4 linked regions of the Notamacropus eugenii genome follow. The protein of the gene in region 2 purifies or fractionates together with the protein of the main gene of each other region. This does not show direct contact. Links are inferred from orthologs where the notes say so. Each region holds a gene or a part of one and is shown on either strand. Other genes may lie near its edges.

Evidence for each region.
Region 1: the proteins of PPP1CC (region 2) and KIFBP purify together in Homo sapiens (affinity purification with mass spectrometry; 3 studies listed by BioGRID and IntAct, counting the BioPlex papers as one, with this or other methods). This does not show direct contact. The link is inferred for Notamacropus eugenii from reciprocal best matches to the Homo sapiens genes PPP1CC and KIFBP.
Region 3: the proteins of PPP1CC (region 2) and KIF18A purify together in Homo sapiens (affinity purification with mass spectrometry; 4 studies listed by BioGRID and IntAct, counting the BioPlex papers as one, with this or other methods). This does not show direct contact. The link is inferred for Notamacropus eugenii from reciprocal best matches to the Homo sapiens genes PPP1CC and KIF18A.
Region 4: the proteins of PPP1CC (region 2) and EIF2AK4 purify together in Homo sapiens (affinity purification with mass spectrometry; 3 studies listed by BioGRID and IntAct, counting the BioPlex papers as one, with this or other methods). This does not show direct contact. The link is inferred for Notamacropus eugenii from reciprocal best matches to the Homo sapiens genes PPP1CC and EIF2AK4.

Annotation. Positions count from the first base shown.
Region 1 is NC_092872.1:260,097,202-260,104,835, reverse strand, and holds the start of KIFBP (KIF-binding protein), read left to right. Parts: upstream 1-4,627; 5' UTR 4,628-4,660; coding exon 4,661-5,092; intron 5,093-7,634. Other genes in the region: DDX21 (nucleolar RNA helicase 2), read left to right, coding at 234-278, 566-859. UniProt on the Homo sapiens protein: Activator of KIF1B plus-end-directed microtubule motor activity. Required for organization of axonal microtubules, and axonal outgrowth and maintenance during peripheral and central nervous system development.
Region 2 is NC_092875.1:35,564,484-35,571,772, reverse strand, and holds the start of PPP1CC (serine/threonine-protein phosphatase PP1-gamma catalytic subunit), read right to left. Parts: upstream 3,018-7,289; 5' UTR 2,935-3,017; coding exon 2,880-2,934; intron 1-2,879. UniProt on the Homo sapiens protein: Protein phosphatase that associates with over 200 regulatory proteins to form highly specific holoenzymes which dephosphorylate hundreds of biological targets.
Region 3 is NC_092877.1:23,275,357-23,282,856, forward strand, and holds the start of KIF18A (kinesin-like protein KIF18A), read left to right. Parts: upstream 1-4,483; 5' UTR 4,484-4,615; intron 4,616-4,661; exon of another isoform or gene 4,662-4,749; intron 4,750-7,500.
Region 4 is NC_092878.1:25,754,554-25,762,548, forward strand, and holds the start of EIF2AK4 (eIF-2-alpha kinase GCN2), read left to right. Parts: upstream 1-4,983; 5' UTR 4,984-5,029; coding exon 5,030-5,212; intron 5,213-7,995. UniProt on the Homo sapiens protein: Metabolic-stress sensing protein kinase that phosphorylates the alpha subunit of eukaryotic translation initiation factor 2 (EIF2S1/eIF-2-alpha) in response to low amino acid availability.

The sequences.
Region 1 (7,634 bases), on a different chromosome or scaffold from region 2:
CATAGTGCAGTTCAAGCTCTCTGTGTTAGACCACTCACACTCTTGTGCTCGGCTTTGGAGAGCAGCTCCATGTATTCCATATGTGATGGCACATCTCCCCTCTTCAGTCTGTGGCATACGGATAACATCTGGACCATGGCTGGATGAGCAGACACCTGTCTGAGGTTACTCAGCCTTGTCAGGGACTGAGGGATCCCTTTGTGAAACTCTTCATCCTGTTCCTTTCTTTTTAGGGCGTTTGTTTTGATGTTCCTGCTGCAGAAGTAAAGACATTCCAGGTATTCTCATCTGGCATAGTGTGGGTGGGATATAGCCTCTGGGTCCAGCAAATGGCTTGTGAATGTAGAGTCCTTTTCAAAGTAGGGGGAGGAGAATTTCCCATCGTGCTTCAATGACCAGAGCAATCAGGATGGTGCCCATAGCATTTAGCATTCAAGGGAAGTCACCTTGGGGTTTGCACCACTTGTAGAGTCGGGAGTTCTTTGGGAGGATGGGAGATGCTTGTTTTCCTTCAGATGGTATCTGGACAAACTGAATTGAGACAAACATACCTTGTGTTCCCCAGGAACAATGGCAGGACTCAAGGCGTTGGCAGCTCTCTGTGGCCACCGAGAGACCCGAGCTGGAGCAGCAGCCTGATGAAGGCAGAGGCTTCTCTAGTTTCCGGAACCAGAGGCAGGGAGGTGGTGGCCGAGGTGGCAGCCGGGGTGGTGGCCGGGGCGGCCGGAATGGTGGCGGCCGGAATGGGGGCGGCCGGAATGGGGGCGGCCGGAATGGTGGCAGCGGCTTCAACAGGAATGACAGATTTCAGAATAGAGGCCAGAAGCGAAGTTTTCAGAGAGCATTTTCTCATCGTTAAGATGAGCAAAAGGACACAATTAAGTTTGAAGAGACAGCACCACCCTCCCCAGTGACTTTTGTAGACTCTAGACCTGCTTCTTGCTTCCTTCTCCGCTCACCACCTGGCTATTGTCCTTTGGGGCAGCTCTCAGCAAGAGATGATGCTTTCTGCCTCGAGGCCCGTCCCTGTTCAAAGGGATGTTCGCCATCCCTTCATTTGTCCACTGTGTCTTCAGAAGTTTTTCTTTGGGACAAGTGTGTCAGTGCACACGTGTTCATTCTGAAATTCATGTTAGTGGATTGCTTCTAAGCTCTGCCGTCTTTGGAAAGGAGTAGAAAAGTATCTCTGTGTAGTGTTTTACCCTGAGGATGAGCTCCCAGGGCACCCAAGCTCAGAAGATCTTTTCTTCCATAGCCAAAGATTTGTTTTTGCAACAGATATTCCTAGTCCACCAGCTGAATGAATTCTCTTGGGGAGACATTGGGCATCGGCTTGTTCTAGAGCCTGGGTCCTGCTGATGATGCTGTGGGTTTGATATCTCATAAAGAATACATTTTTTGTGCATCTAATGCTATTTTGGTGCTTGAGAAATAAATCACAAGCATTCTCCTCAGTGGCATGGGACCCAGGTGGCTTTAACCAGGTTCTGTCAAATCTTCCTTTATGGTAGACAAAAAACTAGCAAATTTTACTGAAAGCATCTGTTAGAATCTCAGGCATGGGAAGATAATTTTATGCCCTTTCCCAGGTGGAAAGAAAGGAAGGAGGCAAATATTTGTCTACTTGCTTTGAATTCTTCTCCATTTGGGAAAGAAATATTATTTATTTCGGAGAAAAAATCTTGACTTGCTAACCAGATGAAATAAACTATTAGACAACATTTTTCAATTAAGAGAAAAAATTCAAAACCACTACCTAGGGAGCTATAAAACTTGGAGAAGTGTTGACTGATAAGCAGGTTCTGTTGGTAATAGGAAAAATATTAGGTTGATTCTTATTGTGTAAATTTCCATAACCCTATTATGTTATAGAATATGTACATTGGCTTTTTGATTCCACAAACATTTATTAAGCACCTACTGTGTGCTAGAGGTTGTTCTGAGAACTCTTTCATTGTGCAGCAGAGATGATTCATTAGGTCACTGTGCTCTTTCTGCTTTGTAAAGTATCTTTGGAGGTTCCGTTGATGATCTGGGGCATGTCCATCCCTCCCCCATAATGGTGTTCCCATCCCTCCTCTGGGTGTCTTCTGTAGCCCCCTGACAACCTGTCTCAGCCCCTGGGGTGAGCTGCCCATTGGTGGTGTGGGGATTACTAACTCTTGTCTCAGTGTGAGGGCGGTCTAAGCATTTATGAAGCCCCTCTGGTGTTCCTGGCACTGTGCTGCCCCCCAGTTTGATGACTCTCCTTTTGCTCCCAAACTTCAGATCACCCTGGCCAGATTTAGTGGAAGGAACACTGGGTTTGCAGTCAGAAGATGTGGGTTTGAATTCCAGCCCTGCTGCTTACTAGCTTGAGTGACCTTGGGTGAAGGGTATGCTGCCATGACTTCTTATGACCTTGGGAACCCCTGTTTTTTCTCCTTTGGCTCCTGAAGCTCTAGCTCATTGCCAGGGTCGTGGTGTTTTAATACTGGTGAGCATGAGGCATCGGTTTGTTCTAGAGGCTGAGTCCCACCCTCCCCCCACCCCCCTAGCTGCCCTTGTTAGTGCAGAAACAATCAAAAGGCCAATTTAGCAAGTATTTTCATGATCAACTAAATCCCCCCTTATTGATGCTCTTGGAAATCCTTTGAACTTCCCATTCTGGTTCCTAATGCTCTACTTAGGTGCTTGGTGACTGGGAGAATGCTAAAGCCTCTCATTCCACCTTCTGTCATCACGTCTGGGAAGCCTGGAGGTCCAGCTTTATTTTTTCAGATGATGAAGGCACAACTTTTCAGACGTGAAGTAACTGATAAGGTTACTGATACTTCTTTTGAGTATATGGCACAATGTCCGACTTGAACCTAGGGCTTCTGGTCCTGAGTCAACTGTCTTTAGTGCAGGGTTCTCTCAGCATCTCATACCTTTTAATTGGGTCCACCTTGGTGGGGAGAGGTTTTTACAGGTCACGAAATGCACCCCATTACTGTGATTTAGTGATTAACAGTGGCCAAACCTTTGGTGGGCAGCCAGCAGGATTGGGTTTGGAACTGGTGTCGCCTTGTATTTGGCAAGGTATCTAAAGGGCACTCCCTTGTTTGTGGGCATACAACTATTGTGCTTTGGAATCAAGAATGCTTCTGTATGTGAACAAAAGAAAATTTTAGTTCTGAATATAAAAGCTAGTGTGGGGTTCGTTTCTACTTTGCAGTATTAGACTTTCAAGGGAAAATGCTAATATTCATAACAAAAGGCTGTGGGAAAATGTAATTTTCCTGGAACAAGACTTGTACATTACATTCATTGGTACCTAAAAAGAGTTTTAATGAGGTTTGGTTGGGCTGGCCTGCGGACCTCACTACCGTTTTTAATTTAGTTCTCATGAGAAAGTATTGAGTTCCAGATTTTTTTTTACAAATGAATTTTCAGAATACAATCTGTTTATGAATTGGGAACTGTCAATGGATTATTAAAGGTAAATATTTTCTAAGATATTGTCTTATGTCTTAATTAAAAACAGTTTCCTTATGCCTGTGCTGCTTTTTCTTAGTACCACAGCGGCCTGGGCCCTGCAGAGGCCTGAAAGGTGTGTGTGTGTGTGTGAGATTATTAACAAATTTGCTCGGGAGATTCTGTACCCATTACTCCATCTGGGACTCATCCTATAATATTGGATAGGGCAGAAGTTATTCCCGTTTTATAGAGGCAAGGACTCAGGCCGTGCTTCTGGGCACGGGGGTAAGGGAAGGCCCTCCGAGTCCTGAGTAGTGGGAAGATGCCAGGGTCCAAATTTATATCTCCAAGGGCTTTCCTGGTGGTGTCAGAATTCAGCGCTGGATTTGGGGTTCAAAGACTGGCACTTTCTCGGGCTAGGATTCTAGTGTCCTCCTCTGCCCCCTAGTGAAGGCCTCACCCTTAGACTAGGCTCCCCATTCATTCCTCTGCCCCGAGTCCCCATTTTATTTCCCTCTCACACTCCTGGGCAGCCCGGCCTGCTAGTGCAGGACATGCCCACTGGGCCTCCGCTGAGCCCCATCGCTGCGCATGCGCACACTGCAGTGGCAGCTTGCGGTCCCTTCTCCGCTACCTTCTCGAGGTGGGACTTGTGGAAAGCGCTTTGCAAACGGAAGAGCTGCGTAAATACCAGCACTGTTGTTTGGGGGTAAGGGGGCAGGGCAGTGTTTCGATTGGCACCGCGCCTGGCACACCAGTTGCTGACCGACCATGCGCAGATACGCATTCATCAAAAACTGAGTCGGGGGACCCCGGCCCGCCCCGGCCCCGAACGTCGCACACGGATGACGCCCAACGAGCGTGCGCAGAATAGAATCTGCTTCCGAGGCCCCTTCCTCCCAGGGCGGGGCCGGCAGTCACGTGGGGGAAGGCTGGTTGGCTCTGGACTCCTCGGAAGTGCTTCGGCCAAAAGAGCGAGGACGTCTCAGCGTAGCCACCCAGCAGCACCGCTAGGAAAGAGGAGCGGAGCCTCTCTTCGGGCGCAGGTGCGTCGCCATGGCGACGGTGGGCCTCGCCGCGGAGGCCCCGCCCCCTCGCGCCGGCGTCTCCCGCCATTGGCCGGCGCGCCCGCGCGGCCCCGCCCTGCGAGGTGTGCGCGACGTGCGTGGGGCGGGCGCGGCAGGGGGCGAGGGGCAGCGGCGGGGCGGACGAGGGGGGCGTTATGGCGACCCCGGAGGACTGGGCCGCGGCCTGCGAGATGTTCCGCGCGTCGCTGTCGCTGTCGCAGGTGGAGTCTCAGAAGGACCCGGAGAACAACCCGTACAAGTCCAAGTACTACGCCCGGGAGCTGCTGCAGGAGGTGAAGGCGCTGCTGGGGCCCGCGGCCGATGAGGACGAGGACGACGAGGCCGGCGGGGGCGGTGGCGGCGGCGGCCCGGGCGCGGAGGAGGGGCCGGCGGCGGAGGGCCCGGGAGCCGGGGCCGAGCCCAGCGCGCGGGCGGTGCGCTTGGCCGCCGTGGAGCTGCAGCTGGGCCTCAACCACATCGACACGGAGGAGCTAGCTGCCGGCGAGGAGCACCTGCAGAACTGCCTGCGCCTGGTGCGGCGCAGCCGCCTCGAGCCCGCCGCCGTGTCCCTGCACCTGCAGGCCCAGGTGTGACCCGGGGGAGGGGGCGGGGGCGGGAGCGGAGCGAGGAGAGGGCACCCTCGCTGTGACCCTGCCTCTGTATGGTGGGGAGGGGACCCCCCGCGGTGAGATGAGGGGGGGGGGGGGAGAAAGGGTCTTCCTACTCCATACCTGGAACACTAACCGTTGGGCCACCACCACCTAGTTGAGATACCTCCCCCTCACTCCCAGTTCCTAGAGGAAATGAGTAAGGCCAGGAACTAGGCTCGAAGAGACCTCAGGAGCCATCTAGCACACCGTCCTCATTTTACAGAGAAGGAAACTGAGGCCCAGGGAGGTAGTATGACTTAGGATCTTAGATCTAGAAGAAACCTCAGCGACCAGGTCAGTACAGTTCCCTCTGTTTACGTAGGAAACAGATTCAGAGAAGAGAAAATTGCCCAGAGTAACAGGTACGACTTCTGGTTACCCACATGGCACCTCTTGCCCATCAGAAGACATTCAAAGGCTCCACCTCTTGCCATGCCTAGGACCTTGGCCACAGAGTGGGAATTAAGCCAGACTAGCAGCCACCCTGGGTGGGGCTTGTGAGTGCAGCTGGAGACAGTATTGCTTATTTTTTACGCCTTTTTACATATTCATTTCCTAACCTATCCTTTCCATTTCCTCCTCCGTTGTTGCTTTTTAAGAATCCTCTCTCAAGTCAAGAAGCTAGGCCAATGGTTCTTAATTTAAGGACTGGGAACTTGAAAATTTTTTTGACAATTATATTTTAATATAATTGGTTTTCTCTACAGTCGTACGTCTTTAATTTTTTGTATTTAAAATCGTTATTCTGAGGGGGAATCATGACACAAAGGAAGATTAAGACTCACCAATTTCTAGGCTTCCTCTCAGGTTGACATTCCCTATTATGCTCTTGGTAAGCCTGTCGTTCCTTGTTCTTAGGGCCCTAGCTCCCCTGACGTTCCCTGCCATGCTTGGACCCTTATCCTTCTTTGTTTTCAAAGTCAGAGTTTAAAAATTCTGGATGTGACCTTCAAAACAATTGGTTTTAAAGTTTCTTCTTTGGATAACCTTTAAGGTTCCTAAAATCTTTTAATGTTGGCCATTGTATATAGTGTAAAATGCAAGGAAGAAGGACACCTTAAAAATTATTATGAATGTACATGATTCCTCATGAGGCGTAGTGACAAAGTCTGATGCCCAGTCAGTGGGGGGAATGTTATCAAAGGGTTGACAAGCACATGTGAACTGTTTTGGCTACTTATCTTTCTCCCTAAGCCCCTACTCTCCTTCCCCACCACTATCAAGGACAACACCATCCTCCCTGTCTCTCAGGCTCACAACCTGGGAGTCATCCTGGATTCCTCCCTACCTCTCACCCTCCCCCATAGCCAGGCAGTTGTCATGGCCTTTTATTGTCACCTTTCAGTCATCCTTTGAACACTCACTCTTTTCTCCTCTGATACGGCCCCGACCCTGGTGCCGACCCTCATCACCTCACATCTGGACTGCTTCCTTAGCTGCTGGTGGATCTGCCTGCCTCAAGTCTGTCCCCACTCAAGTCCCTCCTCTGCCCAGCCAAAGCCCAGGTCTGTCTCTGTCACCCCTGCTCCCCCACTCAGTAAATTCTAGTGTCTCTGTATTGCCTTAAGGCCTACTGTACATTCCTCCTGGCTTCCTTTAAATACCAACTAAAAACCTTTGTTAAGTAGTTTATCCTGTATAGCTTGTTTGTACATATTTATTTGAATATTGTCTCCCCCCTTAGATGATGAGTTTTTTTGGTGTACTCAGCACTTGGCATAGTGCCTGACACAAAGTTGGCCCTTCATAGATGTTGATTGACTGCAGTAAAGTCTGAAAGCTACAGTGGACAAATAAAATACAGTCTTTCCAGTGGCTCAAAAAATGTCTTGTTTTGTTTGGAAACTTTGGGGGAATCCTGGGGAAGAATCGTTGGTGTTCCTGCCTCTGACAACAAATCGTTACTGACATTCAAGGCCCTACCTCATTATTTTCTAATCTATTTTTCTTTTTCCAACCTTATTCTTGTAGTAGAATCTTCTTACATGTACAAGATCAGTCTCTCCCTCCATTCCCATTGCTCATTAATCATTTCTGGAATGGCCTTCTCATCATGTAATGTCAGTTAGAGGGGATCCTGTGCATCCTAAGTTGTACCTCTTGAGGAACCCTTCCTGGCCCATCATCTGAATTCTGATAACACTTAATGTGGTGGTTCATGCACTCCTTTCATTTGTAGAATTTGTCTAATGAGGTTTAAAATAGAGAACATGTCTTGGCCATGGCACTGTGGTTCTGAAATGCTGGAGAAGTCAGGGTTTGAAAGGTGTTGGCCATTCACAACCTTGTTTCTTGGGAACTAACTGATGTCTTGAGGATTGTGGCTGCCTCTCAAGTCTGTGCTCTGGGTTAGTAGTGTGGGGAAGTGACATCATCTGAAACCTTGGTCCTAGGTTGGCAGACACACCTTGCCTGCTTTATATCTGAATACACAAAGCAGATTTTCAAACAGAATATAGATCTAGAGGCACCATACTAG
Region 2 (7,289 bases):
CTTTCAAAGGATTAAACAGAAGGAGGTTATTATAGATACCCTTTTTAGAGAAAGGCTGCATCTATGATGTCAAAACAAGTCATGGAATTCTAATCTGAGTGCAGCCCTGACCACAGACTTGTTTACATGACTTTGGGCAAGAACTACTCTAAAGGAAAAAGAAATTTTGCCTCCACTGATAAAAGAGAAATAAACAGTCCATTCTAAGTTTCCAGGAAAATGTGGCAACTACCATTAGAAACCATGAGCAAAGGTTCTGAGTTTAATGTGCACATCTTATGCTTTATAAAGCACAATTGCTACTTAGTATAATGAGCTGAGTGCACCTCTTAAACATGCAAGTATCCCCAAGCCTTTACTGAAATTATTAGCAAGTTTATTTTTCTTCATCTTACAATAGCTTAAAAAATGGAATGCTACTAATGTCAAAAGTTACTTCATTGTTGATTGTTTACAAAATACTATCTGTACACATCAACTTCTGTTCCATGTAAAATACCATTCCTGAGACGGAAAAAAAATAGTATGAAAAAGCTTAGTACCCCTAAAACCAAACTGACAAAATTCACATAAATTAAAATTAAAACTCTTCTGCGAAGAACTGACCCTGAAGCCAACCTAAGGAAGTCATCCATTTTGAGTTGGCTTCTCTACTGTGGAGTGGTTTTGCAGAGCCACACACCATCATCCTTACAAGCATGCAACTTTCTAAATCAATTTAAAGGCCTGTCCATTTTGAATATGTAAAAGATCTGCCTCAAGGAGGGAAATCTAGTACTGGCTGAAAAAGCATTTTCTTCCTATTTCCCGACATATCTCAACGGTTAAAAAAAGGAGGGTGTGTGTGTGTGTTAAAAACCCCACCACACAAAAAAATCTTACTAAACTTCATTATTAAGTCTTCCTACTTGGATGGTGAGCCACTGCCCAAGTGCTGATTCCAAGCATATGCTACAGGTTATTTAAATATTCATGTGCTGGCCTTCCCCAGCACCTAAGCATTAAGGAAATACTAGTTTATTACATTTAGTTAAATGATCAACTCATGCTACATGAGACAAGACGAGCTTTGCAATGACAGATTTTCTAAATGACAGGTAAGGAAATGTAAAATGAGGCTTCCAAAGGCAATATGCAAGTATGCTGGTATAAAAAACTGCATTAATAAATAAAACATATTAAAGACAGAATAATCATAATTTAATCATTTACAGGTTAACTTTGACTCTAGGTTTTAGGCCTGTAACTCATAAAAGTATCACATGAAGACCTTTTAAGTGACAAAGTAAATACTGGAGAGTTTATCTTTGAAGAGCAACCCACCAGCCTAACAAATGAACAAGAGGAAAAAGAAAGAATTCAATTTCTTCCATTTATCCAATTTCAACTTCAGATATTTAAACAGATTCTTTGCTCATCAGAGAATGCAATCTAGCTTTCATCGGTTTCTGGTCAAGGGAAAACTGCAATTTCATGTAAGCAAAGAACTACACTGAACACTCATAAAAACGGAATCATCTCATCTGGTAAAATATCTTTAACAAACATCAAGACAAAGAGCTCACATCTAACAGTAGCAACATGTCAGCAACACTGAAGGGGATACATACACATTCAGTTAGGTGGGTTTTTGGTTGTTGTTTAAAAAGAAGCTATTCGAAGGAAAACAAAATTTCATTTGGGTCATTACCCGTAGGTCATTTGCCCCCAAAGAGATGGGAATTTTAATGCCACACGGTTCATGCGCTTCTTTACTTTCTCCCCTCAGCACCAGTAACATTCACATTACAAAGAACCTCTTAAGAGGACGGCCGATAAGCACTTCACAGGAAACTTAGCAAAGCTGGACTACTTAGTGCCAAGAGCTCTTCGAAAGTCTGGATAAAATGTTAGCCTTGTTTCATATGCCCTGAATCTCCGGCTGCTTTACTGAAATGCTTCGCATCTTTTCCTTACATCGATCTCCAATCCTTTAGTCAAGTCAAAACTAGTGCATTTTAGCCCTCAATTATTACAAGAAGGGGAGGGGGGGAGGAATCACCTATTTTTTTTCTTAAACAAACAGAACCTTTTTCCCTCCTTGGTTCAGGTTTTATGCCAGAAGTGAAATAAGTGCCTACTTACTCAACGGAATTGTATTTTTTTTAAAGCAGGGAGTGGGGAGAGAAGGTGAAGTCATTAAAGTCCAGGTCTCTCGACTATAAACTTTAGAAAGAATACTCTCCAGGGCTAAGGTCTGCGGGGGGAGGGAGGGAAAGAGGGTGGGCTGGACAAAAGCCCGCAAACCTAGAAACCTAGTGAACCAACCACCCCATAAAACGGCTTTTGTGGAGGCCACTACGAGAAACCCGGCGCTCGCCCCAGCAGAAGGGGACGGAACACGCCGTCCTGCGGCTTTGGACGAGCCTAGCCAAGCTCACAGAAAAGTCTGCAGAGACCCGCCAAGGAGAAGCGGGGGGCGGGGGGCAGGAGTTACTTCACAGCTCGGTTTCTAATTCAAAGCCAAGGGGCCGGGGGTTGGGGGGGGGGGGTGTCGGGGGGAGCGAAAGCAAGGATTGGGGCAGAGCATCCAGGACGTGTCCGTGCGTCCCCTCGATCGCCGGCGGGGGTCATGAACGAGGGGGCCCCCCCGTCACTCCCCAGGGAGGGCTCAGGGTGTTCGGGGAGCTCTCGCTGTTGGTGCCCCCCCTCCATCTCAGCCTGCAAGGCCAGGCGGCCGGGGGTAGCCCAGAGCCCCCCGGGGCAGCGGCGGGCGCGGGAGCCTAGCACCCCCTAACCCCGCCGTGCACGGCCACCCTGGCCCCCCAGCCCCGGAGCCCCCAGCCCCAGGACCCCCCAGCCCCGGAGCCCCCAGCCCCGGAGCCCCGTCCGCAGCTCACCTTCCAGCAGCCGTTGGATGATACTGTCGATGTTAAGCTTGTCGATATCCGCCATCGCCTCCTCCTGCACCCCGGCCCCGGCGGCGGCGGCGGCGCCTCCTCACCGGCCCTCCCCCCACCCCCCGGCCCGGCCCGGCCCGGCTCGGCTCGGCCCGGCTCGGCCCCAGCAGCAGCAGCAGCAGCGGCGGCGCCGCCGCCCGCCCCCCAGCCCCCGGACTCACGGTCCCGTCCGCCCCTTCCCCACGCTCCAGAGCACAGAGAAGCGGCAGTGGCGGCGGAGGCACCGGGGGAAGCGGCGGTGGAGACGGCGGTGGAGACGGCGGCGAAGGAGGCGGCGGCCGGCTCCCTTCCCGTCCCCTCCCTCCCCCCCCCCAGGCTCCCTCTTCCTCCTTCTCTCCCGCTGGAGCCACGAGAGGGACAAAATGGCCGCCGACTCCTCAGCCAGCCTCGGGCGGCGTATGGATACGCGGGAGCAGCGCGGCAGAGCGGCCGGGACCTCTTTATGGGGGCTAGGGCCAAAGGGGAAGGGGGCGGGGACTCGGCGCGCGAGGCAGGAGGGGGCGGGGGGAGTGAGACGCGTCGCTCAGCGCTCTGCGCCGGGTCCTTCCGCGAACCGGGGAACAAATAGGGCCCCAGCTAGCGAGGGATTTCGAAAAGCCGCGCGGGGCAGACAGGGACCTGGGAGGGATGGTGGAGCTGGAGTTGGCTGCCCCAGCTCTGGGGCTCCTCTTCCCAACTCTCACGGGCCCTTTGAGCCCGAGGCGCACGGGAGCGGCTCTGGACTGCTGGTGCTGTCCAGCCTGGTGGTGTTCCCTCCCCACAGTCCGGAGGTTCCGTTGCATCCTTGGGATCCCCAAGCGCAGCGCATTTGGCCTGGGTCAGGATTAAAGAGGAAGGGGGTGGATTGTTTCTCTGGGGGCTCAGGCCTGCCCCTGTCCAGCCTCGTAGCCCTGCTGAGGGTTTCTCCTCCTTTCTGTGGCTCGGACTTTGGGCTGGATGGTACAGAAGAAAAGCAAATGCTTTCAATGCCCCCATTCTGTCAGAGGACAAGGCGAGGGGGCTTCGCTGGGCTGGCCCAAGAGGAGAACCAGGGTCTGAGGAAAGGGCGCCGGGCTGGGCGAGAGCACGTGGGCGACTAAAGTCACTTAAGAACCTCCTTTTTGTCTGCCTCTGGCTCTCCTTGTCTTTCTCTGTCCTTTCCTCCCCTTTTCTTTTTCTTCACTCTTTTCCTTCCCTTTCTTTCCCTTTATTACACTCTTTTACTCTTTCTTTTTTCCCTCTTCTCCCCTCTCCTCTATTCCCCTCTTTTTGCTCCCTCTCCTTCCCACTTTTGCCCCCTCTTTTAGTCGGCTTCTCATCTCCTTTCCCCCCTCCTCCTCCTCCTTCCTCTCTGTCTCTCTGTCTCTTGTCTCTCCCCCCCCTTTCCCTTCTTCCTTCCCCGCTTCCCTTCTCCTCTGATTCTCCCTTTTTTCCCTTTGCATTTCTGTTTCTTTTCCCTCCTTTCCTCAATCTTTCTCTCCCTTCCTCCATCCCCTCTTTTCTCCTCTCAGTAACCCACTCCTGCAAACTGCCCATGGGGCAAAGACACCTCATTATTTCCCAGAGTGAGGCAGAATTCCAAGAAGGGTCCCAAGTGTCCCTTGCCCCCCTGGAGATAATAAATAAAGAGTTGCTGAATTCACCTCATTCTAAGGAAAGAGAAGTGAAATTCTCTTGTTCCTTCACTCTCTATCCTAAAAATCCCCACTGTTCTCAGACACAGCCTGGGATGAGTCTGGGCTAAGGAGGATGGGGGAGGAGGGAGAAACGAGGAGGGAGGAAGACTTATTTGCAGAAAGCAAAAAAGATAGGGCAATGAAGATTCATTTTCGGAAAAAAACCAAATACAGTGGCATTCATTTTCTGACCAGGAAACTGCAGTGTTTATATTTGTACAATATAATCTGGGTATATGTCTCCCTTGTCTTTAAAGCTTGGAGGTTAAGGGGTTGCAGCCAGGCCCAACCTCACCACCAACTGGCACCAAGAAAGAATCACTTGCCTTTTTCTCCAGTGTCTCATGGTCTTTCTCTGTTAAATGGGAACAATTTAACAGCCCCACAGCTAGCCGTTTTTTGCATGCCTTTTCCAAGGCATGCTGTTGTTTTTCAATAGAGGTTGTATGGGCCTTGCCCCAAACATTTCCAGTGTGCACAGCCGTGCACAGCTGGCTTGTTCTTGCAAGACAGCTCATGTCTGAATGTGATGAATTTAGCACTATACGTAGCAAGAAGCCCGTAATTTTTGTTGGATGGAGAACTGGGTGCAATCTACCAAATTACAAGGAGTCTTAACACTCTTCTGAGTTGGAGCCTCCCAAGCCTGCCAAGGTCACCACATAGGCTTGGCGCATTTTGAAGTTGGTCTGGTTGTGTAACTCACCTGCAGAGAAAGTTTCTTGTGCTCCCTTTGCACGTGGAGAATTTGATTAACTAGGTGAGGAACTCAAGATAGATACTACCTTAATGGTGAGAAAACCTGAGGCTGCTGTTCTTGGCTGGGGGACAGAGGAGAGGGACACTCATTGTTTGACATTTTTATGCCAGAACCAACCATGACAGGAAAAAGACAAAGATTCGATACAGTCTTGAATTTTAAAAAAATTAATTGACATCTCTTACTTTTTCATAATCTCCTTTCTGGACCTATCCTACCTCAGACACTTGCTAACTGTATGACTCTGAGCAAGTCACTCTGTCTGCCTCAGTTTTCTCATCTATAAAATGGAAATAATAGTACCCACCCTTAAAGGCTGTGAGAATTCAAATGAGATAACATTTGTAAGCATGTTATGTGAATACAGTGTACCTAGCTTAGCAAAGTGTTTTTTCTTTGCATCTGATTCTCATAATAACCCTGGGAGATAGGTGCTATTATTATCCCCATTTTTACATTAAGAGTCTGAGGTCAAATTTGAACTCAGGTCTTCCTGACTCTAGGCCCAGCACTCTACCTACTGCTTCTCACAGAAGAGAGTAGGGACTATTTATTTGTCTTAGTATCTTAGGATTGTTCTGATCACTGAATGAGAATAACATAGATAGAGTTCTCTGCAGTCCTTAACATGCTTTATAAATGTGATTACTTTTATATTATTATCACTTATTATCATATTAGCTGTTACTGATCTTTGGTGCTGTTGTTGCAAGAGAGAATATTTGAAAGAAATGGACCACTGGCTGGGTTTTGGACATTATTCTACTGTCTGCAGCTTTTCCTGGGGATTTGCCCTGTAACAGTTTGAGATACATTGATACTCTAACCACCTTCTCATCTCACGTGTCCAGGATCGGGATTGGTGGAGTCTCTGAAATGCTTTCTACAAATCCTTCCATCTGTCCACAGGATGGCTCCTGTTCAGCCTCCTGGGAAGAGACATTAATATTTCAGGGAGATTGTTGGAGCAAAGTACATGGCTGGAGTGAGAGGAAGTGAAGGGGTGTGTGTGTGTGTGTGTGTGTGTGTGTGTGTGTGTGTGTGTGTGTGTGTGTGTGTGTGTGTGTGTGTGTGTACTTGCTTGTATGTGAAGCAGACTTTAGAACTAATCCTTCCTTGAAATTTGCTACTTTCCCTGTGTGGTGAAATCTCCTCTTCTCTACTCCACCAATAATAGTATGTTAGGTTTACAAAGCATTTTATATGTGTTTTCTCATTTGATGCTATCACCACAAGGCAGGTGATAGCATTATTCCCACTTTACAGATGAGGAAACTGAGGCAAACACAGGTCAAGTGATTTACCAGGGTCATACAATTAGTAAGTGTCTGAGGGAAGATTAAAACTCAGGTTTCTTAACTTCAAATCCCACACTGTAACTGCTGTATGGTTTAGTTGTCTCTCTGTTCTTTGTATAAACTAGCAGACATGGGAGGGTAGATTATGTTATGTAATGGTGGGCATAAGTCCTCCAAATTGCTTCAGTGGAGCTGCCTTCTTGAGCCAGGACTGAGCAGCTGTCTCCTCTGGATTCATTAGATATCACAGAACCATTGCCCGAGGCTGAGTGTCACTGTCCCACTGTGTCCCCCTTCTCCCAGAGCTGGAGTGTCTCTGTCACAACTAGTTAGCTCACTTGGTTAATATTCAGTGAGGAGGAGGCTGCTGGCTTGCCACCCCATAGCCAAACATTTTCCCTGAGCAGAGATGGCATCTTTGGCTAGTTAACTTGCATGTGTGTGTCCTTGAACATGAAAAGGGTGAGAGTGTGGCTGGTTGGGGACCAACTTTCCTCACTGCTAGAAGAAGTAGCATATCAAAGTATATATCCTGTTGGTGGTACTGGCTTCTCAACTGTGCAGGAGGGATGCTTAGTGGGTCAGTCCATAAGCATTTCAAAACTGAGAGGGGGTGGTATTTGCATCTGGGACAGGG
Region 3 (7,500 bases), on a different chromosome or scaffold from region 2:
AGTAGCAAAATTAACTTGTGAATGAGTTCTACCCTCATCAGCTGGTGCCTTCCTTGTCAAATATTGAAACAAACATTGGTTCTCTATTCTTTCAAAAATGTTTACATGACATTACTACCCTTTCAGAACCAATCTTTTAGAAACAGCATTTTTTCCATCTTTTCATTTCTTCACAACCAACTCACTCCTCAACCTCTTTCAATCAGGCTTTGATTCATGTTTTCTTATGTTAGGTCATTTTTCCTTTTCAGTCTGCATATTATAGCTTCACAGGACAAAAATACTACTAGGATAAAAAAATACAATCAAGATAAAATATACATAAAATATATCTCCAAGATAAAATTCTCCTGCACATCATAATAACTATTTTGCCAAATGATATTAAACAACATTTGAGGCACTATCCCTTATTTTCCTCAAAACAATGAATACCTAACTAATCATTCCAAAACATGATATTTCAGGAACTTTTTTTTTCGGCAGAAACAGCCAAATCAGAATGAAAAGTAAAAATTCCTAAAATAAAATTTATGGGACTTTAACTTCACAACAAGAATACAGAAACCATTCTACTTCTAAAACATTCCAAAAAGACTCATAAAATCTGGCTTAAAAAAATTCTTCCTTTCAGAAGATAAAACAATAGATATTGAAAAGTTGATTGTATAAAATCTGCAAAAACATAAACCACTTAACAAGTAACCTGAGGAAAAGACTTGATTCAGCTATGTCCAAAAAGAAACAAATCTAAACAGTACACTGCCCTAAATAAAGATAAGAATAAGTCATTCAAATTTTTTTTAAAAGGCCAGTTATATTAAAAAAAAAAAACCCAAAAAACTATATAAACATAGTAAATACTAACAGTGTCAGCATAGTTACATAGTAAAAACTAGACACTGGTAAAGTTGTAATAGACTTGGGAAAGTAAAGTGATGACAAGTTAAACATGAAATAATGCTTTCTATTTTCCAGAAAGTTTTTTTGAGGATACCAACTACTTTCCTACCTGACAGTAAAACTCCAACCAAACTCTCCTATTTAATAACTACATAAAAACTTATGCAACAGACATCCATACACACTCAGAATCATCACAGTATCTCAGAGGTGAAAGTGACCTCAGAAGCATCTACTCCAACTCATATCTGAGAAAGAAGCCCCCCCACACACACACACACACACATCCCATCAGCTATCATCTAGTTTTTGGTTAAATTCTAACAAGTCTTTCATCTTCAAAAACAGAAATATTCTATTTAGACAATTAAACAGTCAAACATGTTTGGTTATGGTCCATTGGCCAAAGTATGTATGTGAATAAAGAGTTAGATTTCATTCATCTAGATTTTAGTTTAAAAACTAGAATCAAACTAAGAGTCTATAGTCATGGAGAAAATCAAAATCAGTGGAAGAAATTTTGGAAAAGTAGCACTAACCTTTCACTGACCTTTGGAATGTTTCCAGAAAATCAGATTTTGTAAAGTCACTAAACTGTGCCCCAGGCACACAGCTAGAGGGTATTATTAAAGGAGAACTGTGGGAAAAAATATAGAAACCCAGAGGGGGAGGGCAACCTTACCTCACTGAGAAAGTTTTGTTTGTGTTGTTTTCTACATGACTGATCACTTTAAGGTAGCCAGCACTGAGCAGTCCCCCGAACATCTCCCTGGGACACCTCACTTGCTGGCCTGTCTCCACTGAAAAGGGTGATGATCCATTAGGACCAGAGACAGCGCGCCGGACCTGAAGGAAGACCTCCGATACGAGGCTGGCTGAGACTAGTGGTATGACACCTACCAAGTCACTAAACCGAGCGGAGCCTCGGCGGCCGCGTCTGCAGAATGGGATTATAACAGCCCCTCCCTCTGGGGACTGTGCAGGAGATAAAACGTCCTGGGAGCCCCCACTGGGACCTTCCCCGACCTCCCCGGCCTGTCCTCTGTCTCCCTCACAGACTCCCACGGTATAGCCGGGCACCAGCTACCCTCCACCCCGGGCGTGAAATGCGCCTTCGCAGACGGCGGCGGTGGGAAGGACCCGCGGCCCGGGAGCCCAGGGGGACGGCGCTCGCTCGCCGGGCGGCTGCGGGGCCGCGGGGAAGGTCTTCCCCTGGGGGAGGGCAGCCTCGCCTTCCTCACCTGGGTCGGACACGAGGCCTTACGTCCAGCTCAGTCTCTAACTGGCCTTTGCTCGGGCCCTGAAGGCCGAGGCCGGGCGGAGCAGGGGGCGAGCAGAGCGGCCGCTCGACGTGGGCCGCCCGAGGGGAAGGCGCCGCCGGAGGAAGGCGCCGAGGACGGACGCGCGGGCCCCGCTCCCCCGGCAACCAGCCGCGTCGCCTTTGGTTCCGGGGGCTCCGAGCCGCGGCCCTTCCTCACGGTCCCGGGCGTCGGAGCCGAGCGGGGCGCACTAAGGGCTCCCTTCTCTACCGGGGCCAAATCAGAAGGGGCCGAGCCCCGGGACAGAATGGGATGACAGTAACGGTAGCTTCGGGATTCTCAGAACTGTTCACGTGTGAAAACTGAGAGATGGAAAACTTCCAAGGGGGCCATCCTGGTCTGGCTTCATCACTTGGGGCTACACCGCATGTAGTGGCAGAACCTGGCCCGGGAGATTGTCCAGAATAAACGATTCGGAGCATGATCCTACTACTCTAACATTGTGCATTTCAGAGTTTGCGGGTGCAACTGACACACCAAAAAGGGACAAGATGTAGCAGCTTCCAGGCTACTTTGTAGCAAGCTCCTCATGTAATCTCAAAGTATCACACAACCCAATGACTCATCTACGAATGGCTGCTTAGCGCAAGCCTGTGAAAAATCATTTGTAGGATATTCTCCTATAATGTCCTAGTGCTGGAAAATGGCTTTCCATTAGACATCTCTTATTTAATCCCCGTTATTTCCACACACCTTGCCTTCTCATCTTGGCCTAGTGGCTTCCTTCAAGTCCTAGCCAAAATCCCAGGCTCTATAAGGAGGCTTGTTTCCCTCGATGCTAGTGCCTTCCCTCTACTGATTATCTCCAATTTATATATCTTGTTTGTATATAATTGGTTTTATGTTGCCTCCCCTATTAAACCGTGAGTTCCTAGAGAGTATGTTTTTTTGTTGGCAGTATAGTGCTTAAAGATGCTTGTTGGCTGACAACTTGAATCAGGCTTGGTTTTACTGTGTAAGGATGTCGTAATTGAAGGAGTCAAATCACAAAATTTAATAGAATAGTAAGGAGGGCTCGCAGTTCTACAACATTTTAAGGCTTACAAAGCACATTATTTCACTTGGAGAGCCAGCCCGTATTATTAGGGTGTATGACTGTACAAAAGAGTCCTCCTTTTCTGTTTATTAATACTTTCAGTTAGATGGATTTGGGTTTAAATTCTACCTCTTTGCCACCTATTGTCTAGTCCTGACCTAGCCGCCCATCCCCAATTCTGACTCTAACTTAGAAAAGTTACTCATCTGCACTTATGACAAATTTGGTGAAATCACAGGTACAGATCAAGAAGAAAGATAAGTTTTAATATGTGTCTTATTAGGACAATTTGCTCTATGTCAAAAAAAAAAAACCCAAATCCTAATAAAAGCCTTTTATTCATATGGTTCTATCCATTTTGTGGCTATTTTAAAATCCCTAATTAACAAGTATAAATGTCTTAATAAACAGAGGAAAGGATGCCTGTTTTACTACTTGTACACCCCAATACTACAAAAAGTATTGTCACAAAAGTAATATAGAAAAGGATGGCTGTTTTGCTTTTTTAAAACCCTAATTTTAACAAGTACTCATCAGTGACTAACACAAAGCACTTTTCCCAATGAAGATATCTCAGAAAGGAAAGGCTTCCCAGTTTTGCCCCTTCAATATCTCACAAAATCCTTACAGGTTTGTTAAGAAAAAATATATTTGAGCAATGTCCATCTCCGCCCCACTACGAGGTGATCTGACCTAGGGCCGAGGGAACTGCTTCCAACTCTCCGAATCAGTTTTGGGGGCTTTTCTGAAATCGGTTTAGATTTATGAGGCCAGCTCGGATCACGAAGAGGTGGTCAATAAGCACCGGCCAGATGCCAGGCGCTGGGGGATGCCAGGCGCTGGGGGATGCCAAGCCAGGGCAAGGGCAGGCCCTGCCCTGGGGAGGCTTCCAGTCTGATGCCGACCAGGCTCACACAACTACATACAAACAAGTCAAAGACGGGAGAAATGGGCCTCCGCAGGCTTTCGGCGGCAGGAGGCCGCGGGGTAACCCCGGAACCGCGCCCCCGACTCCTCGGAGGGGATGGAGTAGCGTCCGCTCAGCTCTAGCACCGCCCTCCAGTCGGGGCTCCGCCTCCAACGGCCGCAGCCAGTCCCGCCCAACCGCCGCCGTTACCAGGGCAACGCTAGGGGCCGACGGGCTCCCGCTCGGGCCAATCTACCTCGAATGCGGACGCACGTGGCTTCGTCCGACGGGCGTGGTGACGTCAGGCGGATGGCAGCCAATGAGATGCGCCGGAGAAGAGACAGGCGTGCGTTTGAATCTGGAGTGTGGAGCGGGCCCTTTCCCGGAGCCGGCGCGGCGGCGGAGGCGACGGGGTCGGGCGCGGCCTCGGGGAGCACGGGCGGCAGCGGGGTGAGTGAGGGCGGGGAGGCGGAGGGGCCAGGGCCGGGGAGGCCGCCTCTCTCCCGGGGCCGGGATGGGTCCCGCGGAGGGAGCGCCAGGCACCTTGCGGCCGCGGGCGCGGACCCGGGACCGTCCTTCCTCAGGTGGGACTGGGGGCGGGGCCCCGCCTTCCAAAACAGACGCCCCCAGGGAGGGAAGAGTGGCAATTACCCCCCCCACCCCGACCCACCTTGTGCTCAGTTACCCGGTGAAGGCTTTGCTTGGGGGGCCTGGTTTGTCCCCCCCTCCCCGGCGGGAGTGAGGGTCCGGGAAGGGGCTGCCGGCAGAGTGGGGGAGAAGGGAAGCCCCCTTGTGGGATGCGGTTGTGAAGCGCTCGGCCCGGTCCGCTGCGGGCGGTGGGTGCGAAGTCCGTGCTTGTGGTCCTGGCCCGGGGATGCTGAGAGATCCGCCGCCTTAGCCTTAGCCGAGTGTGTGTGTGTGTGTGTGTGTGTGTGTGTGTGTGTGTGTGTGTGTGTGTGTGTGTGTGTGTGTGTGTGTGTGTGTGTGTGTGTGTGTGTGCGCGCGCGATAATAATAACACATATAACATGTGTTATCTATAGTAATAGCAGCGTGCAGGGATTAGGCGCCTACTGCATGGCGGCGGTGGGGGCGAGGCTTCCGATAGGAGTTTACATTCTAGTGTGTCGATAGCTGCTAACTAGAGAAGCCTCGTTCAGCCAGGGCTGACTGAGGGCTTAGTGTATAGAAGTACTTTCTGCAGCCACAGAAAGGAAGCAGGCCGTCCCTCCAGGCGCCCGCCTTTCTGCAGAGAGTGTAGTAATAGGATCATAGAGTTCAAGATTGCCAAGCCTATCCAGATGGGACCTCACAGCTTTGTAAAGAGGCATGCGTGTGCCCATCTCACAGAGGAGGAAAGGAAGGCTCCTTCTCCTAGGTGTTCAGTCAGTTTACATTATTCAGTTGTGAGTGTGTGTTTTTAACTTCTCTTGTTGGATGTAGGGCAGCCCAGACCAGAAGTTTTCCCTCCCCTGGCAGGGGCTGGTATGTTAGTATTCACAACCTTTTTTGCTGATCTGAGTACAAGTTTGAGGGCAGGGGCAGGTGCAAGCTCAGGCTTACTGTGTGCTGATGCCCTCTTATCTGGCCTGGAACTTGTCTTCCTGGAATTGTGCTATACTGTTATGTGTGGTTTGACGCTCTCTGGAGTTTATCTGAGAAAGGAGACAGGAATGCCTCGGTGACATTATTATTTTAAAAAAAATGGATTTTTAAGCCTTTGAGAAAGTGTACCCTTACATTTTACAAAGCACTTTCTTCATGTCAACCAAATGAGTTCTATAGTGTTGTTGTGAAACAGGGTGTCCCAAAAGTCTTAGGGCAGTTTTGAACTCTAGTAGCTTTGAGTCACTTTGTGTTATCCTTCCCATATTACAGTTGAGGAGCTTGAAGTTTACTCAAAGAGGTTATGTGAGTTAGGCTTTGATGATGGTAGTGTCCACATACATACATAGTACCAGACTTGTGGCAGCCTTTCCGTGTAAAAGTGTTACCATCACTATTTTATGAAAGAGGTGATTTACCACAGTTGCTTAGCCAGTAAGTTTGTAAGCTAGGATGAGCACTCGTTTCTTTGCTGGGTCCCCAGGTAGCACTCTGTAATGCCATTCTTGTAGTAGCAAAGGAGGCATTCAAACAAAAGTGTTTGGGTTTGGGTTTGACTTGGTTCTTTGGCTTGTTTTCTGGTTTTTGGAATAGAGAGAGAGAACAGCTCAGAGGATGAGTAAAGAATCAAGATCGTAGATGGTGCAGCAAATAGAGCCCCAGGCCTGGAATCAGGACCCGAGTTAAATCCAGCCTCTGATGCACTAGCTGTGTCACGCAGCAAGTTACTTAAATTCTGTCCGTCTCAGTTTCCTCATCTGTACAATGGGAGTAATAGTGGCACTTCCTTCCCAGAGTTGTTGTGAGGATCAAATGAGCTAATAATTGTGAAATGTTTAGCACAATGCCTGCCATGTAGTAAGTGCTATGGAAATATTAACTATTGTTATTATAACTTATGACCTTGAAGAGATCTTGAAGGTCATCTAATTCCCAATCCCCTTGTTTTCTGGATGAGAAATTGGAGGCTGTGGTGGATGAAACAACTTCCCCAAGGTCACACAGCAAGAAGCAGAACTGAGATTTGAGCCCAGTCTTCATCTCCAGATTGAATTCTTTTTCCAGAGATGACATCTGAGCTGAGCCCGAATGAAAGCTCAGGATTCTCAACTTGGAGGGGCACCAGTGAGGAGCAAGGACATTCCACAAGTTGGGCACTAACTCATTTCTCTGTTGTACTGTTATCCCTATGATAGTATGTGATAATAGGAAGTCACAGGTGTTATCACAGTGGACATGGAAGCGGGAGGGGTAATGATCATTTTACCATCTCAGATAATCCAGTTCACCTGAGAAAGAGAGACTGCAGCAAGACTACTGGCAGCCTTAGGGGACTAGGTAAGGAGCTTGTGTCTGTAGGGGAAACAAGTGGCCAACTCTTTGAACAGAAGAGTGAGATGGTCAGATGTGTCCTTAAGGAAGATGGTTTGGAAGCTGTATAGATGGATCAGAGCAGAAAGAGACTGGTGGCAGAGAGGACAGCCGGGATGCCCTCCTAGGCCAGTGCCCTTTCTACTGCTCCATGTTGCCAGGTATTTGAAAGGACATTTTCCTTTGCCCACGTATTGGGAAGAGCAGGCTTAATTGTCCTCCATCGAGAAGCCTAAGTATGCCTTCCTTTCATATATGCATGTATAAAGGTTTGCACAAACTGAGCACCTGCTTAGAGTTCCTAAGGAGGTGACGTGTCTTCTTTGGCAAGTGGTCTGCCCCTAGGATCATCAGCTTGGC
Region 4 (7,995 bases), on a different chromosome or scaffold from region 2:
TACAATCCACTCATACTGGCCAAATTGCTGTTCCTCATACACAATACTCCATGTTTCCTCTCCATATTTTTGCATTGACTATTTCACATGCCTGGAATGATTCTCTCTCTCTCTCCCTGCATCCCTCCTTCCCTCTTTCTATCTCTCTTTTTTAAGATTCAGATAACATGCCATCTTCTCCCAAAGACCTTTCCTGTACCTCACTCTCTCCTGAGCTGTTTAGTGCTGTCCTTCCAAGCTTATTTCTCATTTACTTGTTTTATCTTTTATGTTCTGGTGATTTCAGCAGCTCCCATGGATTCAGTGATCCTATCTATGCTGATGAGTCTCAGATCTACTTATCTAATCAATAGCTCTCCTAATCTCCAGACTCACTTCTCCAACTGCCTACTAGACATCTCAGACTGGATGTCCTATAGATATCTTAAATTCTACATGTCCAAAATAGGATTCAGTACTTTCCCCTGTTTCTTTTCATCTCTCTACTTTTTGTATTCCTATAAAAGAGACCACTTTCCTCCCATTTACCCAGGCTCCCACTCTACATGTCATCATCTACTTCTCACTCTCTTTAACCTCACATATCCAGTCTGTTGCCAAGCCCTATCTATAGATTTTATTTTCACAATAACTCTCATATTTACCCCTTCTCTCCTCTGACACTGCCACTACTCTAGACCAAGACCTTACTACTTAATGACTGAACCATTACAATAGTGTTAAGGATGGTCCCTCTGCCACAAGTCTCTCACCATTCCAGTCCTTCCAATACTTAGCTGTCAAATTGATGTTTCTAATTCACAAATTGATCTTTCATATTCCGTGAACTCCAGTGGCTTCCTATTACTTCCAAGTTCAAATATAAAATCCTCTGTTTGGTGTTCAAAGTTCTTCATAACCTGGAATCCCACAACTTCCTTTCTCTTTGTATTTTCACCAACTATTATCCATTCCTGAGATGCTTTCCTTCCTCATTTCCACCTCCTGGCTTCCCTTGCTTCTTTGAAATCTCACTTAAAATATTTCCTAATCCCCCTTAATGCTAGTACCTTCTTCTGTTAATTATCTCCAATTGATCCTATATATGTCCTTTTTGTACATAGTTGTTTGCAAGTTACTACCTCCCCGCCTTAGACTGTGAGCTTCTTGAAAGCCAGGACTGTATTTTGCCTCTCTTTGTATCTTCAGTGCCTGTCACATAGTAGGTACTTAATAAATGCATATTGATTTATTGGTTAAAAGCCTATTCTGGTTCTTAAGACAAATAAGACAATTCCAGCCCTGAAACTACTTTCAATCTAGTAGAATTATTGATACATTAGAATGTAAATTAATAAGGGGAATACAAATGTTTATGAGATTTGTTAAGAGAAAGATTGTTTCCAGCTAGGGGGTCAAAGAATTCTTTATAGAACAGTTAAAATTTTAGCTGGGCCTCATAGGATAAATAGGCTGTCAACAAGCAAAAATGAGATAGGAGGGGATTCTGGGCTAGGCCTAACTGGGGGTTATGTTTCAAGTAGTTCAGGTTTGGGATTAGAGCAAAATGAGAACTACATGGCCAATTGAACATTTTAGTTTTGTTTTACATTTTATTATTTATTTTTAACATTTTTTTATTTTTAAATTTTGAGTTCCAAATTCTCTTCCTCCCTTCCACTCCCTCCCATACCCACTGAGAAGACAGGCAACATAATATTAATCATCAGTGTGAAATCATGAAAAACATATTTCCATATTAGTCATATTTTTTTAAAGCAAGGAAAATAAAGTGAGAAAACTACTCTTCAATTCACATAAGTTTATCAGTTCTCTCTCTCTGGAGGTGGATGGCATTTTTTCATCACGAGTCCTTTGGAATTGTCTTGGATCATATTGATCATAGTAACCAAATTGTTCACTGTTGTTCATCACTACAACATTGCTGTTACTGTGCACATTGATCTCCTGGTTCTTCTGCATCAATTCATATAGTTCTTACAATGCTTTTCTGAAACCACTCCCCTCATCATTTCTTGTAGCACAATAGTACTCCATCACAATCATGTGATACAACTTGTTCAGCCATTCTCCAATTGATGAGAATTCCCCATTTCCAACTGTGCCACCACAAAAAGAGCTAATGTAAATATTTTTATGCATATAAATCCTTTTTCCTTTTTCTTAGATCTCTTTGGAATATAGACCTGGTACTAGTATTGCTGGGTCAAGGGGCATGCACAATTTTATAACCCTTTGGGCACAGTTCCAAATTGCTCTCCAAAATGATTGGACCAGTTCACAATAGTTTATTAATGTACCTATTTTCCTTCATCCCTTCCACCATTAGTCATTTCTGATAAGTGTGAGTTGGTACCCCAGAACTATTTTAATTTGCATTACTCTAATCAATAGTGATTTAGAACATTTTTCAATTGACTAGATAGCTTTGACTTCTTCTGAAAACTGCCTATTTATATCCTTTGATCATTTATCAGTTGGGGAATAGCTCTTATTTTTATAAATTTGACTCAATTCTATACTCAGTATATTTTTGAGAAATGAGAACCTTATCAAAGAAACTTGCTGTTAAATTTTTTTAATATTATTTCATTGTCTATAGTACCTTTTAACATAATGTAGCTTCCCTGATAGCCTCTTTTAATTAGATTTATTTTTGCTTTTGCTTTGTCTGAAATCATGATCACTCTCCCTGCTCTTTTTTTTTTTAACTTTAGGTGAAGCATATTAAGTTCTGCTCCAGCCCTTTATTTTTACTTGCTGTGTGTCTTCCTACTTCAAGTGTGTCTCATACATAACATATTGTTGGATTCTGGTTTCTAATCCATTTCTGCTCTTTCTTTTTTATGGGTAAGCTCATCCCACTCACATTCACAATTGTCAATGATTTGAGTATTAGTGGAAGTCTCTAAGGTGATTTCCTTGCCTTTTAGGGAGAAATTAGTCTAACCTATACCAAGGAGATATCACTCCTACCACAGAGGATATTTCAGGCATAATGAGCAGTGTAAGTAAATGAAGCATATGGGGCCTCTTCACAGGACATCAAATAGTACTTTTCTCTAAAATGAGAAGTACATGTTGAGGAATCATGTGGGATAAGGCTAATATAGTAAATTGGCACCAGATAATGAAAGATTCTTAAGAAAAAAAACAACTAAGGAATATGATCTTTATTTGTAGTGACAAGACCTACATTAGACTCCTCATTGCTACATCTTAGCTGTGTGTCTTTGGGCACATCACAGAAATTACTATACTTGGGTTCAAATTCTGGCTGTGTCCTCTGTTACCTACGTGACTTTGGACAAGTTGCTTTACTTCTTTGCACCTCAGTTTCCTCATTTGTAAAATGAAAAGATCTTCTAGTTCCATATCTTCAATTTCTCTAAACTTCAGCTTCTTCATCCAAATAATTTTTATAATTAGTATTACAATATTTGCAATGAACCAGAACTCATCACTGTGACAACATATGAAAAGAATTTTAGCTACAAAGTACTTATAAATATAACCTATTATCATTACATAATCCTTCTATCAAAGATTCTCACAGCACAAAGGGGCCAGTCACATTGTTTCACCTCTCTTAGACCCCTATGCTGCCACCCAATGCACTGAGACTGACTCTCTACTTATAAACCATACAGTTCATAGAAATATGGAAGAAAGTGTTCCTGAAAGGAGCTAACCAAACAGCAACTCTTGAAACCCAAAGAATTCAAATATGAGGGCTTCTTTGACAGCCTTCCAATCCCACAAGTTTTTTTTGTTTTTTGTTTTTGCCATCTCTCTACCAGGGATTTGAGGAGTGTTGGAGAAAGCTGCAGAGAAGGGAATCATTCATCTCTTTATCCTCCTGTAATGTTAATGTAAGGTTAATAGGTGGGAGGGAGGAAGAGTTAAAGATCTTCCCTGCTCATTAATAGATCTCAATACCTTTTGTTCATTTCTATTGAGGCACTGGGTCCTCCGAGGGTGTGCCCTCCATGCCCTCCATCTCTGAAAACTGTATAACTACTCTGAAGTGAGGTTTTAGTTTGGGGCTTTCTCCTTGGAAGTGTCCTTTGACCAGATTAGACTCTGGGTAGCTCTTAAGGTAACATCCACTAGCTTAGAAAACCCAGATACTGGTGCTTCTCTCTCTGGTAACTATGAATGTATGTGTGGTCAGAGAGTTGGATCTGTCTGTTGATCTGTGATGTATGCATGCTTATGGTCAGACAGTTGGAAGTCCTGTCTTTATTTCTCTGCATGCATTTTCTCTGTTGGTACAGTGTTTGCTTAAAGTGATTGCTGACCCCTCAAGAGTTGCTTTCCTTCTAGAAAAGCAGATCTCTACCAGTTGGCCCCCTGTGTATATCCCCGTCCTTGCGGTTATACCACCTTCTCGTTTCTTGCATTACTTTCCCAAACTACGGCTGGCCCAGCTCTATTCCACGGGTTCCAGAGCGGGCTAAGGAGGAAGCCTGGCCTCCCAGATAAGCAGCACTCGGGACAGCGGAAAAGGCCAGGCATTTAGGATCCCGCGGCTTGGCATCGAGCTCCAGCCCTGCCATCGAGCCCCAGCCCAGCCCTGGCATCGAGTCCCAGCCCAGCCCTGGCATCGAGTCCCAGCCCAGCCCTGGCATCGAGTCCCAGCCCAGCCCTGGCACCGAGCCCCAGCCCATCCTTCACTCCTTGGGCACTTGTCACAACCTGTCCCTGGCTCGGTTTCCTCCTCAGTAAAACGGGGATAAACTAGATAGCCTTTATAGTTCCAAGTGTAGGGCCCCAGATCCCCAGCCACAGTCCAAGGGGGCCCTGGGGAGGAAGCTCTCGTCAGTGGCTGGAGCAGGCCGCCTTCCCCCGGGGCGGAGTGGCGGCCCCTCCGACCACCAGGGGGCAGCGCAGCGTCCCGGCGGCCCGCCCCGCCCCTCCCCCCTCCCTCCTCGCCCCTCCTCCTCCGGACTTGTCCTCGTCCTCCTCAGGGAGGCCCGGATCGGAGGCCCGGAGAGGCGTCCCGCCAGCCCACGCCGCCGCCGCGGCCATGGCCGGGGGCGCCCGGGCCCGCCAGCCGCGGGAGCCCGGAGAGCAGGCCCGGCGCGGAGCGGGCGACGGCGCGGCGGAGCAGCCCGAGAGCTACCCGCAGCGCCAGGACCACGAGCTGCAGGCGCTGGAGGCCATCTACGGCCGCGACTTCCAGGACCTGCGGCGACCGCGGCCGGGCCAGGTAGGAAGGCGCGGGAGCCCCGCGGCCCCCTGCGGCCAGCTCGCGGCTTGGGGCCCGGCCTCGCAGCCCCGCCCCGCCAGCGCGGCAGCTGCGCGGGCACCGTGCCCGCTCTGTGCCCATCCGTTATCCTGCCAGGGCTCCTTAACCTGGGCTCCGGAGACCTTTAGAAGACCTCCTGACAGCCGGTGCCCTTCGGAACCCTTCTATTTTATCTGATGCCTTTCCAAGGGTTATCCAGCAAAGGGCCCGTGGGCTTCACCAACCTGGCAGAGGGTCCGTGGCACAGACGTGTCCAGGACCGCCGGGCCCAGCTCTGCCCCGTGACTTTTTACTGATATCCTTTGATGGCCCTGCCACCCTCATGCTTTATCGCCGCCCGCTTCCCGTCCAACATAGAGGTGTGCGTAGCTACTTCTCCTTTCCCTCCACTTTCCCTGAGCCCTTTGGGTAGACTTAACAGCACCTCTCCTAACTTTGTTTTTTTCCTCTGATCATTTTTTTCCTGACATACCCAACCCTTAGTCAACAGTAATCCTCTTCAACAAACATTTGTTGGGAGTCTAAGCACTGCAGGAATACTAAATGATCGCGGGCAGTTGAGGGTGCAGGGGAGAAAAGCATATTTAAAAATTCATTAACATGAAGCGGAAGTTGATAATGCATAGGAAAATTATTTAGTACTTTTGAAAATTCAAAGCAAGGAGAGATGGCTTCCGAGTGGAGAGATAAGGGTACTGTGTAGAAGATGGCATCTGAGTTGGCTTTAAAGGATGAGAAGGTTTTCAAATGGAACAAGTGTTGGGGATAGGGAAGTCCAGAAAAGAAGAACTACATAATGCCTAAGCATTGGTACAGAGGCCTTTGAGCCTGGACCACATCAGAGACTGAGAAAACTTGTGTGGTTGGAGGGTGTAGTCTGTTAGGGGAGATAATGCTGGAAAGGTAAGTTAGATCCTGAATGGCAAGCTACAGTTTGGCTCTCATTTGGGAAGAGGGAACTGTGGAAGGTGTTTAAGCTGAGGAGTTACATGATCACAGCAGACATGAGGATATGTCAGTGAAGTGTAGGATAGATTGGAGGGGGAAATCCAATTAGGTTATTCTGGTCTAGGAGTAGTCTAGGAGAGGGGAAGTTAGTTCTGAATTAGGGGCCATGGCGGTCAGAACAGGGAGAAGTTTGCTAGAAAGATTTTGAAGACAGAATGATTGAAGCAGTGGGAATGGAAATGAGTGAAATATTTTCAGAATGGGTGACTGACAAAATGGTTATGCCATTAACCAATATAGAGAAATAAGGAGAAGAAGCCAGTCTTTGAAGAAGGATGATGAATTTGGTGTTTGGAATATTATTGAATTGTCAGTGCCTGTGTGATACTTACATGGAACTAACTAGCAGGAAGATGGAAATGTGGGACTGGAACTCTAAGAAAGAGAGGAATTGGGGTTGGAGATCTGCAAATCAAGTACGTAGAAATTATGGTTGAAATCTTAACCATAGACAAGATTGCGTTGAGAGAGAGTGTAGAGATTAAATACAAGAAAGCTAAAGATTGAACCCTTCCTCCTCTTCCAATGCAGCTAGGTTCTAAGTGCAAATTTCCCAGAGCAGAATCAAATTAGTGCACAGGGAAAAGGGACATTTGTCCAAAAAGTAAGTAGCAATACCATCAAGTACCCTGTCTTTATGCACAACCTAATGTTTCATTTCTTATCATATCGTTCCTAATTCTACAAATCATATATCCCAGATTCTTCTGTTCACTGTATTTCTCTATTTAGAAATTACCTGCCTCCTTCCTTCTACCATTATAATTTTGCCCTCTACAGCATCCACTCTCTCCAGTGCACCTAAAAGTCTCTCATGCTGTACAGAATATCTACAATGGACTCTGTCCTTCCCCTCCCCCATTTTCCATCTGTTATGGGCCCTTCCTTTCTTTTAGGACCCAACTTAGGGTGGTGCCAAATAAATGTTGAATTGAAAGCTTCACATGATGCAAGGTTTTGATAACTAGTCTTCTTTCTTCAGACAGCTAGGTGGCACAGTAGATAGTGTCATACCTGGAGTCAGGAAGACTCATCTTCCCGAGTTCAAATTAGGCTTTAGAGACTTACTAGCTGTGTGACCTTGGGTAAGTCACTTAACCCTGTTTCCCTCAGTTTCTTCACCTATAAAATGAGCTGGAGAAGGAAATGGCAAGCCACTCCAGTATCTCTGCCTTGAAAACCCCAAATGGGGCCATGAAGAGCTGGACACAGCTGAACTCAACAGCATCAAACTCCTTTATGCCTGTAGTAGCTGCCTTACATACTTTATATCCACTTTCCTTCCATATTGCACCAGGTTGCTACTTTGTTCCCCTAGGCTATCCCTGCTACTTAAATTATTTTAATTATGTATTTCAAAGGTCTTTGAGTTCATCTGTGGGAGTATTTCCTTAACTAATGAAGGTTACAAGGTCTCTATGCCTCAGTTTTCGTGAGTCACAAGGAGTGAAAAAATTCATCATCCAACCTGCTTATGCTGTACCACTGGCACTTTGCTAGGTTCGTCCACAGACAGCACACACACATACATATACATTCTATCTCTAAGCCTATGCTTGAAGATCGTCCAGCTTGACAGGACCTGCCAATACAGCGTTCAAGAGCCTATAAGCACCAGCCTATAGGTTACCCATAATCAGTTGCTCATAATGGAGGCCTATCTGATGTGCTCTAGAGAACATTGCTTTTTGGAATTCTCTTTTAAATATCTTCCTTTTCCCTCACAAGTATGCAAA